Linked DNA regions of Saccharomyces cerevisiae S288C. The protein of the gene in region 2 interacts with the protein of the main gene of each other region in a biochemical or structural test. Each region holds a gene or a part of one and is shown on either strand. Other genes may lie near its edges. The genes, in order: SSO1 and MSO1.

Region 1 (11,943 bases), on a different chromosome or scaffold from region 2:
GTTGTTCTTGTATATTATGGAGGAGTGGTCTATATCTGGGACAACATAATGCTGAGACGATCTGCTAAAGAGTAAAGGAGGGATAGTACTAGTGTTGGCATTCTTGTTAAGGTTTGAGTTTTCGCTGGTACCGGCCCCTACTAAAAACAAAGGCGGGCTTATTGGTTGTTGCTGTTGCGGCTGCTGTAACGATGACGCAGTGCGATTTTGTTGCTGCTGTTGCTGCTGCTGTTGCTGCTGCTGAAGACGATCATATTTGAAATTCTGGAAACTGAGCGCATCTGGAATAATACCAAAGGGGTTGCTGCTTGCGAAGTTCATAGGTTCTTGGATATTTGGAGGGGTGTTGTAGGGCATCATTTCATGTAATATAAAAAAGTGGTTATATGTGATAGTTTATCTGCTAAAATCGGAAAAAGCGTCATCTTGTCAGTGAAATGAGATAAAAAGCTTCTTTCTTTTCTTTTTCTTATTATTGCAATTAACGGGGGTCCGGGTGAGCGTAAGGGCGAGATAACCATGGCGGTATAGGTGTATATGATCAAGTTTTGAAGTCAAGATGCAGGATTGTTCGTTCCGTATTCACAATCCACCGTTAGTGTTACATCGTAGTTTTTGATGCTACTGTGGGCTGTGTAAAGCAGACGCGGGAGTTTAAAATTAAGTTTTGCGGTTATTTCTCGTTGATCAACGCAAGAGGTCAGAAAGCCCTTTATGCAAGGGATTTTTTCTTGCAATTGCATCTTATCATTTTTGTAGCACTGATTATACATAGCTTGACTCATTTGAAAAATTTTATAAACTGCATTTAGTATGGAACAAAACATAAAAATAAAAAAAGATGCGCACCATAATTTGTTTGCGCATATTAAGAATTATATTAGTTGTAAGATATTTATACTCTACGGAATATTTGAAACTTAGATCAGATTGCCTCGATCAAGTCAATATGTAATCAACACTAAGCCTTTTCTTATTGGTGTTGACCGAAATATCAGACTCTGATAAAGTTTCCGACCTCTTTTTGTTATTATTATCATTGCGATCATCAGTATTCTTGAAATTTTCTCCCCCTTTGCCGCCATTCTTCGAGGAAGACATATTATTGTTTTTATTTCCATTTGGTGGTTGGCTAAATGCCTGCTGATACTGTGGTAAAATAATTGGTTTTGCTTCAGCAACTGTCGTTGACGGAGAAAACGGCGGGGAGAATGAATCAAGATGGTTATTGATATTACTAGTATTGACATTGATATTGCTTGGTCTAATATTGTATTTGTTCATAGTTGTCCGTGCTTGAAAGTCGGCAGAATCTTTATATTTGAAGGAAGTACTTGGCATGGACCTCGGAGGAAAGGACGATATGATTACCTCAGAGGCCGGATGGCTCGTTGAGGAGGGGCTCACATTCAAAGGATACTGCACATCTACTGATGGTAAATAATTGATGGTGTTATTATTACTGGGAAGAGGATACTGGTAGTAACTATCAGTGATTGGATGGGAAGGAAAATAATAGGGAGCCTGTTGATGCTGTTGTTGTTGGTGTTGTTGCTGTCGTTGGGTATTATAAATGGACCTTGGAGAGATGGGTGGGATGCTTCTCGTGCTAGTAATGAACTCCGGCGAAGAATGTATTATTTGGGGCGCTTTTTCGTTTTCTGCCATCATCGGCATGTTCCCGCTATTAATATTAGTTTTCCTGTAAGGATCACTATATGATGTAGATGATGAAGCAGAAGACGAAGAAGATGCAGAAGAAGAGGAGGATAAAGATGAAGAGGAAGGCTTACGCTGGTGCGAGCTGGTAGAATGGTGGTTTTTATGTGCATGGACCGATTCCCGATGCTGTTTCAAATTATCAACTCTACTGAAGAATTTCAAACATGCAGGACACTGGAACGGCTTTTCACCAGTGTGCTTTCTTATATGACGTGCAAGATGTTCCGCTCTAGTGAAGGACATCGTACAACCGTCATATCCGGTGCATTTGAACGTTTTCCTTCGAGCACTTTTGGACCTCTTCGGAGTTGATGCCGCTACACTATTGGTGGCAAAGTTACCATTGCTGCTCGTAAGAACGCCTGCAGTATTACGATTCGTGGTATTTTCCATTTCGTGTTTTTTTCTTATCTTATCACAGTATTATTTATGTGTTAGTAAAAAAAGCTAAGCCAGTAAGTCGCTCCAGATTTTTTCTTTACATACATGGTTAATGAAGCTGTTGCAAAATACTGCAGCCAAGAACTCCTGTCTCTTTCAAAACAAGACGAAACTTTATCTGCCGGGATGAATAAGAATTAATCAAAATTATAGGCAATAAGAGTGGATTGAGATTGTTATATACGGAAGACTGTTGAACGGTTAAGGGGGAAGCCGTGAAGGAGCAAACAAATCTTGAAAAAGAAAACATTTTCTAAAAAAAAATAGAGGGGATAAATAAGGCCCTTAGGGGGACTCAACGGCGGAGAATTCGAAAGCCAAAGGATGCTTCCCACCGCTAAGCCAGGGCGAACGGCAGCGGCGATCGAGGATGCTGGTTCTTTAAGGGCACTCGTCCACCTTCGCGATTTTTCTCTTCCCTGAGTATTTGGCAGAGGCGATCAAGGGGTGGCTCACACAACCAGTCGCAGGAGCGTCGCGCATCGGGTATTAGACCCTATTCTGTACACCACAGCCTTCCAGCCCCTTGCCCCACGCGATTGGTGTAAACAATAGATGGCAGTAATCGTTGAGACAACATAACTACCGGCCGTCCCTGACCCTTTCCCCTCCTCACGGTAGAGACAACAACCACGGGAGGAATAAAAACCGGTGCTGGGCCAGCCGATATCGTAAAAGCCTAATTACCCCAGAGCTGCTACGCGGACTTCTATTCTTCCACGCGTCAATATGCCCCCGCGCGAATTTGTGTGGGCCGACCAAATAGAAGAATTGAACGGTGTGTACGCTCAGGGCCATATGATTATAGACGTACACAATGATTAGGCCAGATCGAAATCAGAGGCTAAAGTAAGGAAACGATAGAAAAATAACAAAGTAATTACTATTATGTCTGATAAATAGAAGCGACACGTTACATATTAAAAGAGGGACTACGTAGTGCTCTCTCTATTTCTTAGTAGAAACGGCGACCGCGACAGCTTGGAGGTCATCGTGAGAAATAGATACCTTCACATCGGTAACACCAGCTTCTTCGGCAGCCTTTTTGGCGTTACCGTGCAGTTCAACGGCTGGAGCGTTTTTGTTAACGCGTACGATTTCGATGTCTTTCAATGCAGCACCACCGCCTAAGGACTTGACGCCTAAGGACTTGAAAACAGCCTCTTTGGCGGACCATGTCCCAGCGAAAGAGCTTTGCACACTAGGCTGCGCGCTGCAGTACTCTATTTCTTGCGGGGTGAAATTGCGCTCGATAAAAGTATCATTTTCAACGTTGATGCTAGTGATTAATTCAACATCTACACCGACGCCACCGTTAGAGACTTTCTCCTTGGTCATGTTTTCAATCATCTTGGCAGTTTCAATGGTGTTAGCATTGATGTAACTGTCCTTGCTTTGGATGTTTTTAGAGTTGAAAGTCAAGGAGCCTGATTTCTTATCCTTAGATACACGGGCTAATGGGTCCAAGTAAACATCCTCTTCCAATTCATCAGTGTATGGAGCATGCTCTTTACTTACGAACAACTTGTTGTAGATCATACCATTATGGAAGAATTTGTAGGCACTTTTCTCTCTGGCACTAACCTTGGCGACATACTCGTTGTATCTGTCTTCAGTGATAGCACCGTATAAGTAGTCTGGATGAACCACAATAGCTTGACCACCCTTTTGACCAAAACCGAAAGAAGTGATGGACACGGCTCTGACACCGTCGGTCTTTAAAGTCTTGGATGGGTACAAGACGTATTCAAATTGCTCCAAGATCTTATCCACGTTATCAGCGTTACGGTTACCTGGAATAATACCACTGTTTAGAATTTGCAAAGCACCATTCATCATCCATGCACCAGCAGCACCCTTTGGATGACCAGTCAAGAACTTTTGGAAAACACCAATGACGGGATTACCTTCAGATCTACCCAAATGCTTCATCATTTCATTAATTGTGGCAGATTCGTTCTTGTCATTAGCCTTTGTGGATGTACCGTGGAATGAAGCGACACCCAAGTCATCAATAGTTAAACCGTAAGTAGCCAGTGCTCCTCTCAATGGAGCAATACGTGGGTCCCTCTTGTAGAAGTCGTTACCCCATTGTTGTTGTGCAGCTCTCAATTGACTTTCAGCTTCGTTGTGGATTTCTCTGGTACGTTCAAGTAAGAACTCGTTTTGGTCTTCGCTTGGAATTTCTTCGGCCTCCAACTTCAAAGCTTCCAATTCGTTTTCTACCCAATCTTTAATCTGAGCTTCACGAGTAACCAATTGGCGCTTTCTGTACTTCATGTTCAAGTTTGGTGAAGCATACTTAACACTGGAGTGGTGTTCACGAGCAGTGGTTAAAATACCCTTACCTGGAGCTGGCACAGATCTACCAATCTTATCGGTGGCGGTAGCAGCCATGGCAACAATACCGTAAATTGGCACACCCATCTTCAAAGCTAAATCAGCTTGCATGATGATTTGAATACCAGCACCTTGAGCTTCCATAAAACCGTTACGGGTAGTGGTGGCAGGTCTGGACATTTCCGCTGGGGTACGACCATGTTCAAATTCTTCCAAAGTGTTGGAAGTGGCCTTCATGTTACCGAACTCAAAGGAGCCTTCTTCTTGGAAATCATCGTAACCACCGACAATACAGATTCTAGCCTTACCAGACAAGATGGTTTCTACACCAATGTCAACAGATTCCACGGATGTGGCACAGGCACCAACAGGTGTCTTGATTGGACCAGATGAGGAAATCAACAACATATTAACCCAAGCGGACATGGTGTTGATAAATGATTCTTGTAAAATATCATTTTGGACAGGCTCATCCTTGAAACGGTCCTTAAACATACCACGTAAGGCAGAAACACCACCCATACCAGAACCAGAACAGTTACCAACCTCAGAAACATGTACGTATTTGTACATTTCGTATGGGTCGGTGATACCAGATGCAATAAATGCTTCCACAACAGAGACCAAAACGAATAATGTGATTGGGTCAACCTGAGAAATGATATCATCAGAGATACCATAAGTCTTAGCATTCCAACCAGTTGGAATTTGACCTGCAACCAAACGGTCAAATCTCAAAGCCTTTGGAATGTATAAAGTGGCACCCTTTAGTAACTTAACAGAGTACTCTCCTGTTTCTGGGATTTCGAAGATATCCACTTTGTCACCATGTTGGTGTTTAAATTGTTCGGCAGTTTCCTTCGAAGCCTCAAATGGTTCCAAGTCTTCTTCGACAATGACTTCTTGAATCATTTCCTTCTTTTCTGGGTTGTAACCATTGAATAACTCTGGTTCGATCAATCTGATACCACTGTGTTCTAGGATTGATGTTTCATACTTGGCCTTAACGTCCTTGTCATCAACTGGTTCTTTTGTTTTGGAATCAACCCAACCAGTGTATGGACGACCCTTCAAATTACCGTTATGGTATGAAATGAAGCCCATAATCCAGGCCATTTCAACGCAACCTTCCAACGAAAATTCACCAAAAGCTTCCATTTCCCATCTTGTTCTGGCCGAACCCCATGGGCCGACTTCAGCAAAACCGGTAACTACAATAACTCTTTCCAAATCCAACAAACCTTCAAGCTCAGCGGGAGCAATTTGTTTAACCTGTTTGTATGGTTTCAATTCTGGGAAGTCCAGTTGAATGTTAGCTCTTGGTTGAATTTCGACTTGAGCATATGCAGCATCAGCGCTATTGCCATTGACAACCTTATGCTCCAAAGCAGTTTCGATGGAAACTGCCTTTCTAACTTCAGAAGTTTCAACCAACTCTTTACGCAATTTAGCAGTGAATTCCTTCAATTCAGGAACAAATTGCAAACCACCATTCAAGTCAGCCATAACAGGTGATTTTTGGCACAATTCTACGACTTCTGGAGTCAATAGACCCAATAAGTTGAAAGCCATTTCCTTTTGAGAGAAAGTACGAACACCCATCTTTTCAATGCCTTCAGCAATGATGTTATTAGCGCTCATTAAACCAGTACCTCTAGTCCAACCAATAATAGCACCGCAAACGGTTAATTGATTGGCCCAGGATTCAGAGTGCCATCTGTTGAACAAAGTTTCCAAAGACAACTTGGATTCTGAATACATACCATCACCACCGAAAGTACCATGGTTTGGAGACATTGGTAGAATGACTTGAGCTGGTCTTGTTTCAATACCTCTTGCAGATTTTTGCTTCTTGACACAACCCATCATTCTTAAGATATTGGTCAACATGATTCTATGAGCAAATTCAGACTTAGAATCAATATGTTCTAATTCAATACCTTGTTCTGGAATGGCCGCGAATGGAATAATAGCATCTAGATCCCAACCTAAACCACCATTCTTTTCAGTGTCGTAGATAAATTCAATCAAAGCTTCAACGTCTTGCTTAGAACCTTGGTTGAATGGAACAACAATCAAAGTAGAACCCTTAGCACCATATTTGGCGTAAATGGATTGGTAGTAGTCTGTAACTTGCTTAGAGAAACGAGAGGTGGTAACAACAACCTTAGCACCACCTTGTAACAAACCTTGCAAGACTTCAGCACCAATAGAACCCTTACCAGCACCAGTGATCAAGACGTATTTGTCCTTGAAGGTGACACCGTTGAAGGCAGCCTTTTCTAAACCATCTAAGAAAAGAGAAGACAATTGGCGGTCATATTTCCAATCTCCGGCAGGAGTCTTCTTTCTCAAATGTAAGAACGGAATAGTTTCTCTTGGAATAGTTGAAGATACCGTCTTAGAAATGGTAGATTTGTTTGGCAAAGAAGCAACTTCTTTGGTGGAATCTTTGTCCAAAGCATCCTCAACATCCATACCGGCCAATTGGGTTGTTTGAGAAGGATCGATTTCTTTGGAGCTTTCCAAGAACTTCATCAAATCACTATATAGTTTTTCAAATTCAACCCTGGTGGAGCTGGAAATATCTTGTTTATCAGCTTGAGCACTGATTGCCTTGTAAACACGAGTCAAATCCTCTTCAATAGTAGGTTGAGATTCTTTGGTGATTGGACCACCAAGGGCCATTTCTTGTACGTATTGAGATAATTTCCTAACCTTTTCTCTTGGCTCTTCTGAGTATGTAATGTTACCGTTCTTGTCAATAGCAGTTTTTGGACCGGTAGGCTTAGCAACATCTTTGTAAACTGGATCAACATCCAAAACTTGTTTACAGTTTTCAATCAACTGCTCACCAAGAGTTTTAACCAATTGATAGTTTTCACCTTTTGTTTCATCAGTGTTAGAGATATGGTATTCCATGAATTTAATCAAAGCATCGTTAGATCTGTTCATGATATTGATAGCTTCACTAACAACCTCTCTATCAACGTTTTTCAAGACACCATGAATTATCTCAAAGTATAATGATAATAAAGATTGTTTAGCCCAGTTCCAGGAAGAATCGAAGGTTCTGGCCTTTTTTCTAGAGAAAGAAGTAGCAACACCGTTAACAAAGAATTCACCTAATTCGGCATTCAAGTAATCCAACTGAGCTTGAAGTTCAGCAACAGTGTCCTTTTCTTTCAAGAACTTTCTTTCACCGTTATCCAAGTCCATTTTTAGATAACGAGCCAATACTTGCAGTTGTTGACGCGCCAAAACCTTGTGGTCTTTGGTTATTTCTTCCAGAGCGCCAGCATCGATCATAGCTGCACCGGCAGCAGCACCTGCACCGGCAGCACCACTAGCGCTAGCAGCTGATGATAAGTCAACACCAACAATGGAAGCGTATTTTTGAGCCATGGAGTCCAAGAAAGCCTTGGCATCAGCTTCAGAACCTAGACGAGCAGCAGGCTCGTTAGATAAAGCTACCAAAAGGACACCATCTTGTCTACCAGATGGTAGTCCCCAGCGAGTTTGTAAGTATTTTCTAGCGACAGTAATAGTAAACCCACCAGGCATCTTAGATGAGATTAATCTTGATAATAACGAGGAAGATTGCTTACCCAATGCTCCAGAGAAGGTATCTTGGAAAGTTTCTGCCAATTCTTCTAATGGAGTTTCTTCTGGTTTTTCAGGAGTAGTACCAAATTCTTTACCTAAATCACCCAAAATTTCATTTTGGACTGTAGATTTACCACCGACCAAGTCTTTGATTGTCTTGGACATTGGAATGGAATCTAACGACTTCTTCAACTTGTGAGCAACCAAAACGTGCAACAATAGGGAAGCCTTGACAGGTTCATCGGCAATCTCAGCAGCTGCTGCAGCTGGGGCTGCTGCCGCGACGGGAGCTGGGGCTGCTGCTGCAGGAGCAGGAGCACTAGCAGCTGGAGTTGGAGCAGGAGCTTCTTCCTTAGCGGGCTCTTCCTTTGCAGCTAGTTCGGATGGATCTGGGGTATAATAAATCTCTTTGGCATCCTTCGAATAGCATAAGATTTCTCTATGTAAAGACAGAGCAGCATCGTAAGATTCGTATTTATTCTTCAAGGTTCTTTGAGCCATCCCAGCCAAAGTTGGAGAAGGACCGATTTCAACAACCCTTTCAGTGTTAAAATCCTTCAAAAAAACATCTTGAGTTTCAATCCATCTCACAGGAGAGGCAAATTGATAAGCTAACAATTCAGTTAGCAAAATATGAGCTAATTCTTGCTCAACTTCCGGCTTCATAATGATGGTATTTCAATTGGTGTTGCTGTAGCCCTTTAAACGTCTAATATAGCGGTTATTAGAAAAGCACGACAGTGGTGATGTGGTCTTGTGTAACCTTCAGTTAACAAGTTATATATGAGGCATAACCGTTTAGAAACAACTGGTTATCCAACATCTGTAAACTGCCCAACAAACCGTGCCTTAGTGAGATTTCGGTCGTAACGTTACGAGGCGAATGAGGTAGCATGTGAAAACGCGGGAGATAAAAAAAAAATGGTTGGATTTTGCTAAGCGATGGGTTAGTTTGCGGGTAATGCCCAATGTATTTTTAGGAAGAGTGATATTTAAATATTGCTTGGCTAAACTAAATACACGTCCATGATTCAGTAGTAAGTTGTTGTTTTTGGCCTGCAGACCAGAGAAAATTTAGGAAATATAGTAAAGAATAGGCGAAAGTATTAAGATATATTGATATACAAAAGGGGAGTTCGGATAGAATAGAAATATAGAAAATAGTTGGAATTAACGCGTTTTGACAACGGCTGGGACAACAACGACAACAACAACGACTACAATGATGGCGAATACAATCAACCAACATCTAATCTTGTTCTTTCTTGCTTTTCTGGCACTCTTGACGGCTTTATCGGTATGACCGACACCCTGTTCTACGTCGAGTTGAGCGTCTTCAACGTTCTTGTCGATGACGTCTACGTTTTCTTGTTGTTCTATTACCAGTTCTTCCATGTCATTAAACAATTGAGTAAGTTCTGCCATGGATTTTTCTAGTTTCAATAACTCTTGGTGCCTTGCCTGGACTTCCGCAAGAGCAGTCTTGGCTTCCCCACGTCTGTTAGCATTCAACAATGCTTGTGAGAAGATCTGCTGGCCCCCTACATCGCTTATGGCTGCTTCAACTTCATCTTCGGTGGCCTCTGGTTGAATGATCATATACTGCCTCTTGGCTTGCTCTTTATTCTCCTCCTTGTAGTTGGAATCCACAATTCTGTAGTCCTGGATAAGCTTCAAAAATCTTTGTCTGGAGTTTTCCGCCTGAGCTTGCTTGTTGGTGTCATGTATCCCATCCCTTTGGGCACTTTTAATCTCATTTTTCAGTTTGAACTGCAAGTCCGTGGCTTGTGCGACGAAGTTGTCCAGGGAGTGCCTTAAGTGACTTGCTTGCTCCTCATTAACTTCGGTCAGTAGCCTCTTATGCAAAGAATCGACCTGGTTGATGGTATGGTCGTACTTATCGAGATCGCGATTGATTTGACTGATCTTATTCATGAAGCCCACGAAATCGTGGCCTTCAGCACCGATAGCGCTCGAACCTTCGTCCAACTCGTATGACTCTTCAAAAGGGGTTTCCAACTGGTACGGATTATTATAACTCATTTGATTTGTTTCTATTTTTAATTGCCTTTTTTAATTGTAAAAGGGTTTTCTTTCAAGTATACACAGATTTACCGCAAAGACCGTCACTGCGTGAGATAGACCTTTCTTTGTTCTTTACTAAAAGTTATTGGTCTTTCCCCTTGTAACTTCCACGATTTGACTTGATTTGGTTCTTGACGTCTTTACGAGAAGTAAGATCCTGCTACTTTTCTTTTTTTGTATTCGCGTTTCACAGACACTAATTTTTTCTCTTTAACGGGCAAAAACTGGATTCTCCCCCATGCGCACAGCCTGCATATCGTCTTTTGTCGTTAGTGTGTGGGAAAAGGCTGGCTCTATACTTTTTTATTTTCAGCTCTTCGTACAAAGATAAAAAAGTGTAAAAAAATGAATAAAGCCCCAGAATATAGTTATCATTTACCACGAGGTTGACTGTCTTATATGTTATTTATTCAATCCTCCTCCAGGAAGTCCATTAAGCGCTTGACCTTTTCAACGTTATATCTTACCTTGGGTAGGTCTTGCTGTGTTTGATACAATTCATTGAGTGAGGCAACGTAATCCTGCTTGATGTGCTCCCAGTTGATGTGATCATCGGCATCGTCGGTACTATCATCATGGTCAGCAGATTGTTGCTGCATCATTCTAGCTTGAAGAACGCCGATTCTCCCATCCAATTGTGCCAAATACTCATCCTTTGAGTTGTTGTAAACTTCGTTGATTTTTGCAGGCCCCGTTTGCCTCAACTGGGCCACCTTAACGGTTTCGTCTTCCCACTCTTGGTACATCTTTCTAACTTGCTCATTCAGGTCAAGGTCAAAGGGCTCCATGTACTTCTCTTGTGATTCCATGATCAATTGCTTTACCGTCTTTCCTACCGTGTCGGCGTTGACAACTTCTAGTGACTTCGAAGCCATCGTCATAGCGCTCAAAAGAAATTCTTGTAACTGTATCTGAACCTCTCTCCTAACAGCGTCATCGTCGTATTCTTTCTTCGGTAGATGCAAATCAGTTTTTTCTTCCAAGATATCATGAAACTGGTGGTATATACTTCGAAGCTGCTCAACAGTTACGTCCAGTTTTTTGGACTGACCTTGTGACATCTTCTCGTGTTACAATAATATATTTAGTGTGGTTGCTATGGGTAAGAAAGGATTTAGGCTCCGGTACACGTCTGAATAAAACTTTTTCCGCCTACTCAGCCTGCTTATTGTACTGTACCGGTTTGTTTATTTTCTTGATTCCTGCACGCACAAGGAATGGCCGCGAGTCGTCCCATCGATCTTTTTTTCTCACTATATATCATGAACGTTTATTTTGGCTGATAACAAAATATTCGTGTCAGTTGAGCCAGGTAAAAGGTTGCAGCCTAAATCAGTACTTATGTACGTACATGTGTATCTGTGTATATATTATCTATATCACTAATCGTCTTGTGCTTTCAGGCTTAAAGAGCCATTTCAAAAAGCAAGCAATTACTGGACTGCTTTTATATGTTTTCCCTCTACGGAAAAAAAAATGTAGAAACCTGTCAAAATGGTGATAAAGAAGAAGTAACTTCTTTATTTGGTATTGTTCAGGTCTGCTTATTCCTCTTCGGTTAGATGTGTTCTTTTGCGTAAAAGCAGCAGCACTTGGACAATGCGACTTTTTACCCGGTACGCAGGTACGCATATTTTTGCTAAGAAATATTCTTTAGTGAAAGAGTGATTAGTTAGAAAAAGGAACATAGATAACCTAATATTTTCTTCTTTACTCGTAAGAAAAAAAAAAATAAATATAGCAAAGCAA
Region 2 (4,197 bases):
CAGTAAGAAAGTCGCAGTCCAACCTCAATGGATGGTACTTACGGATCCTGAATTAGGCAATCAAACTTGTCGAATACAGTTCGAAGTTCCAAATCATATCAAGAAATCTACTTATGTTTATTACCGCCTAACAAATTTCAATCAAAACTATAGAGAATATGTGCAATCTCTTGACCTAGACCAATTAAAAGGAAAAGCATTGATCGGAAATGATCTGGATCCAAACTGTGACCCTTTAAGGACGGTAGAAAATAAGACCATATTCCCCTGTGGATTGATAGCAAATTCGATGTTCAATGATACATTCGGCACAACACTTACTGGTGTAAACGATACTGCAGATTATTTGCTTACCACAAAAGGTATTGCGTGGGACACCGACAGCCACAGATATGGAAAGACCGAATACAATGCATCCGATATCGTACCGCCCCCAAATTGGGCCAAGTTATTTCCCAATGGCTACACTGACGATAACATTCCAGACCTACAAAACTGGGAACAGTTCAAAATATGGATGAGAACTGCTGCATTGCCCAACTTCTATAAGCTAGCAATGAAAAATGAGACCAATGGGTTAGGTAAGGGTATTTACATTGCTGATATAGAACTCAACTACCCAGTAAGATCTTTCTATGGAACAAAATCTTTTGTATTAACCACAAACAGTATTATCGGTGCTGGAAACGAGGCATTAGGGATTGTTTATTTGATTGTTGCCGGGATTGCAACTCTTTTCGCCATACTATTCCTGATAAAAGTCATCTTCAAACCAAGACCTATGCATGATCATAGCTACCTAAATTTTGAGAACAGCGATACCCCATTCGATGAGAGTAGTGTCGTTAGTATTCCATTGAGAGAAATTTTATGATTGATTATCATTTACTATAAAATCCCTGCGTTTGATTCGGTCTCTAGGGAAGCGTTGTAATTTCATGTATATTCAAAATAAGGACGAGGTTATATACCATACTATATTATCTCCTTGCATTCTGTATCAAACACTTTATTCAGTACATATACGATACCTATATATTCATTAAATGTTCTTTTCGCTTTATTTCAGCAAGGTATAGTGCTATTTAAAATCCATAATCGTTATTGCGTCTCTTTAGTCTGTCCTTCATTGCCATTACTCCACTACTTGCGTCTGGTGGCGGCGTTGGCGTGCTGGAGGTGTTGAAACTGTTCGACGTTTTACTTCGACCGAGACTTGCCCTGAATTCTTGGCCTGCTGAAGGTCTAGTCGGCCGTGATGAAGCTCTTCTCGGTGTCGCGCTAGAGGAGCTTGTATGATTATTGTATATATCTTGAAACGATTTACTCGCAGGCGTGTACTCCGGTGTGTTCCCGTTTGAAGAAGGTGTACCCATAGGATCTTCTGAAGAAGCCTTCCTTCTGTTAGAAAAGGATGGCGAGAAATGACGCGAGTTTTGCTTCTTCATATCATGCTTCACTTGAGTATCTAATATTTTACGTTCGTTCGGTAAATCTTCCTTCTCCCCCAACCATCCTGGGAACCCCTGGAAAGGATGCTGATTTTCATAGAATTTCACAAGCCCTTTATGGACCAATGTAGTATTTACAGTATCACCATCTTTTTCTGCTTTAATGGATAAATGTGCCAACGATGTAGATAACGATTTGGTTGACGACTTAAACTTGTTCCAAAATCGCCCGGATCCTTCTTGGGAATGCGATACTTGACTCATCATATGCGTGAAATCTTAGTTATACTGGTAGTTGGTATTAGGGCCTAGCGTCTAATAGTTAGTTGGCGTTTTATTTTTTTGCACCTTTCCTAATAGTATTAATCTCTAAAAGTGAAAAACTCCTAAGAGTCTTTACGAGCTCATTTAATACGTTCTGATCAGAAGCAAGACTATAAAATGCAATAGCCAATACTTTTTAGACTAAAGGTAGACGACTTACTAGCGGTTCAAGCTTCAGGAACTACACTCTCAATTACGTTCTAGTCCATTTTGTCCCTCTTTCCGGTTTTTTTTTTTTTACGTTTCCTTATGAAAGTATAAGTAATACTAAAGAAAGATTTATAAAGTGCCGTTACTGTTACGTATGATAAACCTTTTGATACATTTCTTCTTATTTAAGCCACTGTCTTTTCCTTTAGATAGATGCCGTACTTGTCCTTTAGTTCTTTCATGATTGGATCATTAATCTCTGGTGAGTATGGCGCTAGTAAGCCTGGTCCCTTGATTGTACCATCTAAGACGAATTTCGTTGCAATGGCAACTGGATAACCAACAGTAGCGGCCATAGAACTGTAACCACCAACCTTACCATAGTCAACTAAAGTGGATGTTCTTGTTTCGGTAGTTCCATCAGCCCATTCAATACCGAATTTGTGTTGTAGTACAACCATATCTCTTTCATTGTCTTCATATTGCATTAGTTCTTCTAAACGTGCACATAGAGTGTCTAAAGCATTACCTCTTGGTGTGATCTTTGCGTCAGAGAACAAGCCTAACCAAGCAAACCCGGAAAGGATTCTTTCTCTATCTTCATCATCTTTCCAAGTAGCCTTTGAGTCAATGGAAGCAATCAAATCTTCTTTAGAAGTAGACTTGGCACCTAAATATTGTTTTAGTGCTTCGTTCCAGGCAATTGGCTTGCTGAAGATTTCGTTAGCATCATCCTTCAACATACCCATGTCAACTAAAGCCTTAACAAATTCTGGGAAACCTTGATATCTCAAAGTACCTCTAATGACCGTTTCGGCTTCTGGAATATGATAAAGATCCTTGAAAAGGGTAGAGTCTCTATTTGGGTAGCAAACGAATGCATAACCTGGGTAGATGAAGTAAGGCTTAGCAGTGGCCATTAAGTCTTCGGAAGAAACAGTTTCAATCTTTCCGTCTTTCCAGTATTTAGCAGAGTTTCTTAAAGCCAGTAGCACACCTCTGGAGGACCATGAAAATTTGTATCCTAATGGATTATCAGAGTCTTCAGGAGCTGGTAAACCACCACAGTATGACAAGAATGACTTTAGCTTACCACCAGCTCTGTGAACTTCATCAATAGTCTTGACCGCATACAAGTGGTCGATACCTGGATCCAACCCAATTTCGTTCATAACTGTAATACCTGCCTTTACGATTTCTGGTTCCAATTCTCTTAAGGCAGGTGAGATGTAAGAGGAAGTGACGACATCGGTCTTTGTTCTGATGGCGCTCTTTACCACATTTGGATGGAAGGTGTATGGAATCAAAGAGATGACAACATCGTTATCAGCCAGAACTTTGTCTAAGGCACTGTCATCGGTAACATCCAATGAAATAGCCTTGGATCCAGAGGGCTTGGCCAATGCTTGCGCATTGGCTAATGTTCTACATGCGACAGTGACATTGATGTCATCATTAGCAGCCAATGTGTCGATAACAGGTTGTGCAACAAAACCAGATCCTAGCAACAAAACGTTCTTTCCCATATTAAAATATATAATACGTTAATATAACTCAATTGTCCTGATAAGTTTTCCCTACTGCCTAAGGATCCTTCCCATGTAATTTTACCAGGACCCTACGGTTTATATACCATTAAGCCAAATTCTGTGCTACTTTCTATCATCTATTGCTGATAATTCCATTGGAAATTCTCAATACCCTTTATTGACATCTTTATTTTTCACTACAAAGCGAATTTTTCCAACGGAATTTCGATTCCAGAGTATGAGTAATTCTTTTCACTACTAAACGCATTGCTTCGTGGTCAGTAGTAACCGCAATCACACTCTTCACTTCTGTTGTGGTGAATATCAAAAGAAACAAGAGATCATCCACAATTTCCTCAGCTTGACTTGTCTGCAGTTGCGATTAAAATTTGACTTTTGCTCCACCGCTCTCTACAGGTATTATATTTGGAAATCATCAAATGATGGGAATCCCCTACGTGGCACTTAGATACGATACATAAGACTCTTGCATATGTAGCTACCAACGTGGGAAAACCTTTCAAGTAACAGTTTGTTTGCTCTTAGCAACTTCTAGCCCTAATGAAAAAAAATGAAAAATAATTGCCAGCTTTTCCCCGCGACTTTTCAAAATCGGTATAAAAGCAAGTCGAAAATCAGTCAAAAAACTTTTCTCTCTTGATTGCTTATTGCAATCTCACTTGTTTTTTCCTTGATTTTACTTTCAATTTAGTTTACAATATCATGGGACTTTATCTCCATGA

The links.
Region 1: the proteins of MSO1 (region 2) and SSO1 form a complex in vitro, tested with the Saccharomyces cerevisiae proteins (one study listed by BioGRID).

The regions. Positions count from the first base shown.
Region 1 is NC_001148.4:105,484-117,426, reverse strand, and holds SSO1 (syntaxin), read right to left. Parts: upstream 10,153-11,943; coding exon 9,280-10,152; downstream 1-9,279. Other genes in the region: YPL229W (uncharacterized protein), read right to left, coding at 1-360; USV1 (Usv1p), read right to left, coding at 940-2,115; trifunctional fatty acid synthase subunit FAS2, read right to left, coding at 3,112-8,775; MIND complex subunit NSL1, read right to left, coding at 10,605-11,255. UniProt on the Saccharomyces cerevisiae protein: Required for vesicle fusion with the plasma membrane.
Region 2 is NC_001146.8:711,938-716,134, forward strand, and holds MSO1 (Mso1p), read right to left. Parts: upstream 1,719-4,197; coding exon 1,086-1,718; downstream 1-1,085. Other genes in the region: YNR048W (putative aminophospholipid translocase regulatory protein), read left to right, coding at 1-874; LYS9 (saccharopine dehydrogenase (NADP+, L-glutamate-forming)), read right to left, coding at 2,111-3,451. UniProt on the Saccharomyces cerevisiae protein: Involved in secretion. Component of the secretory vesicle docking complex.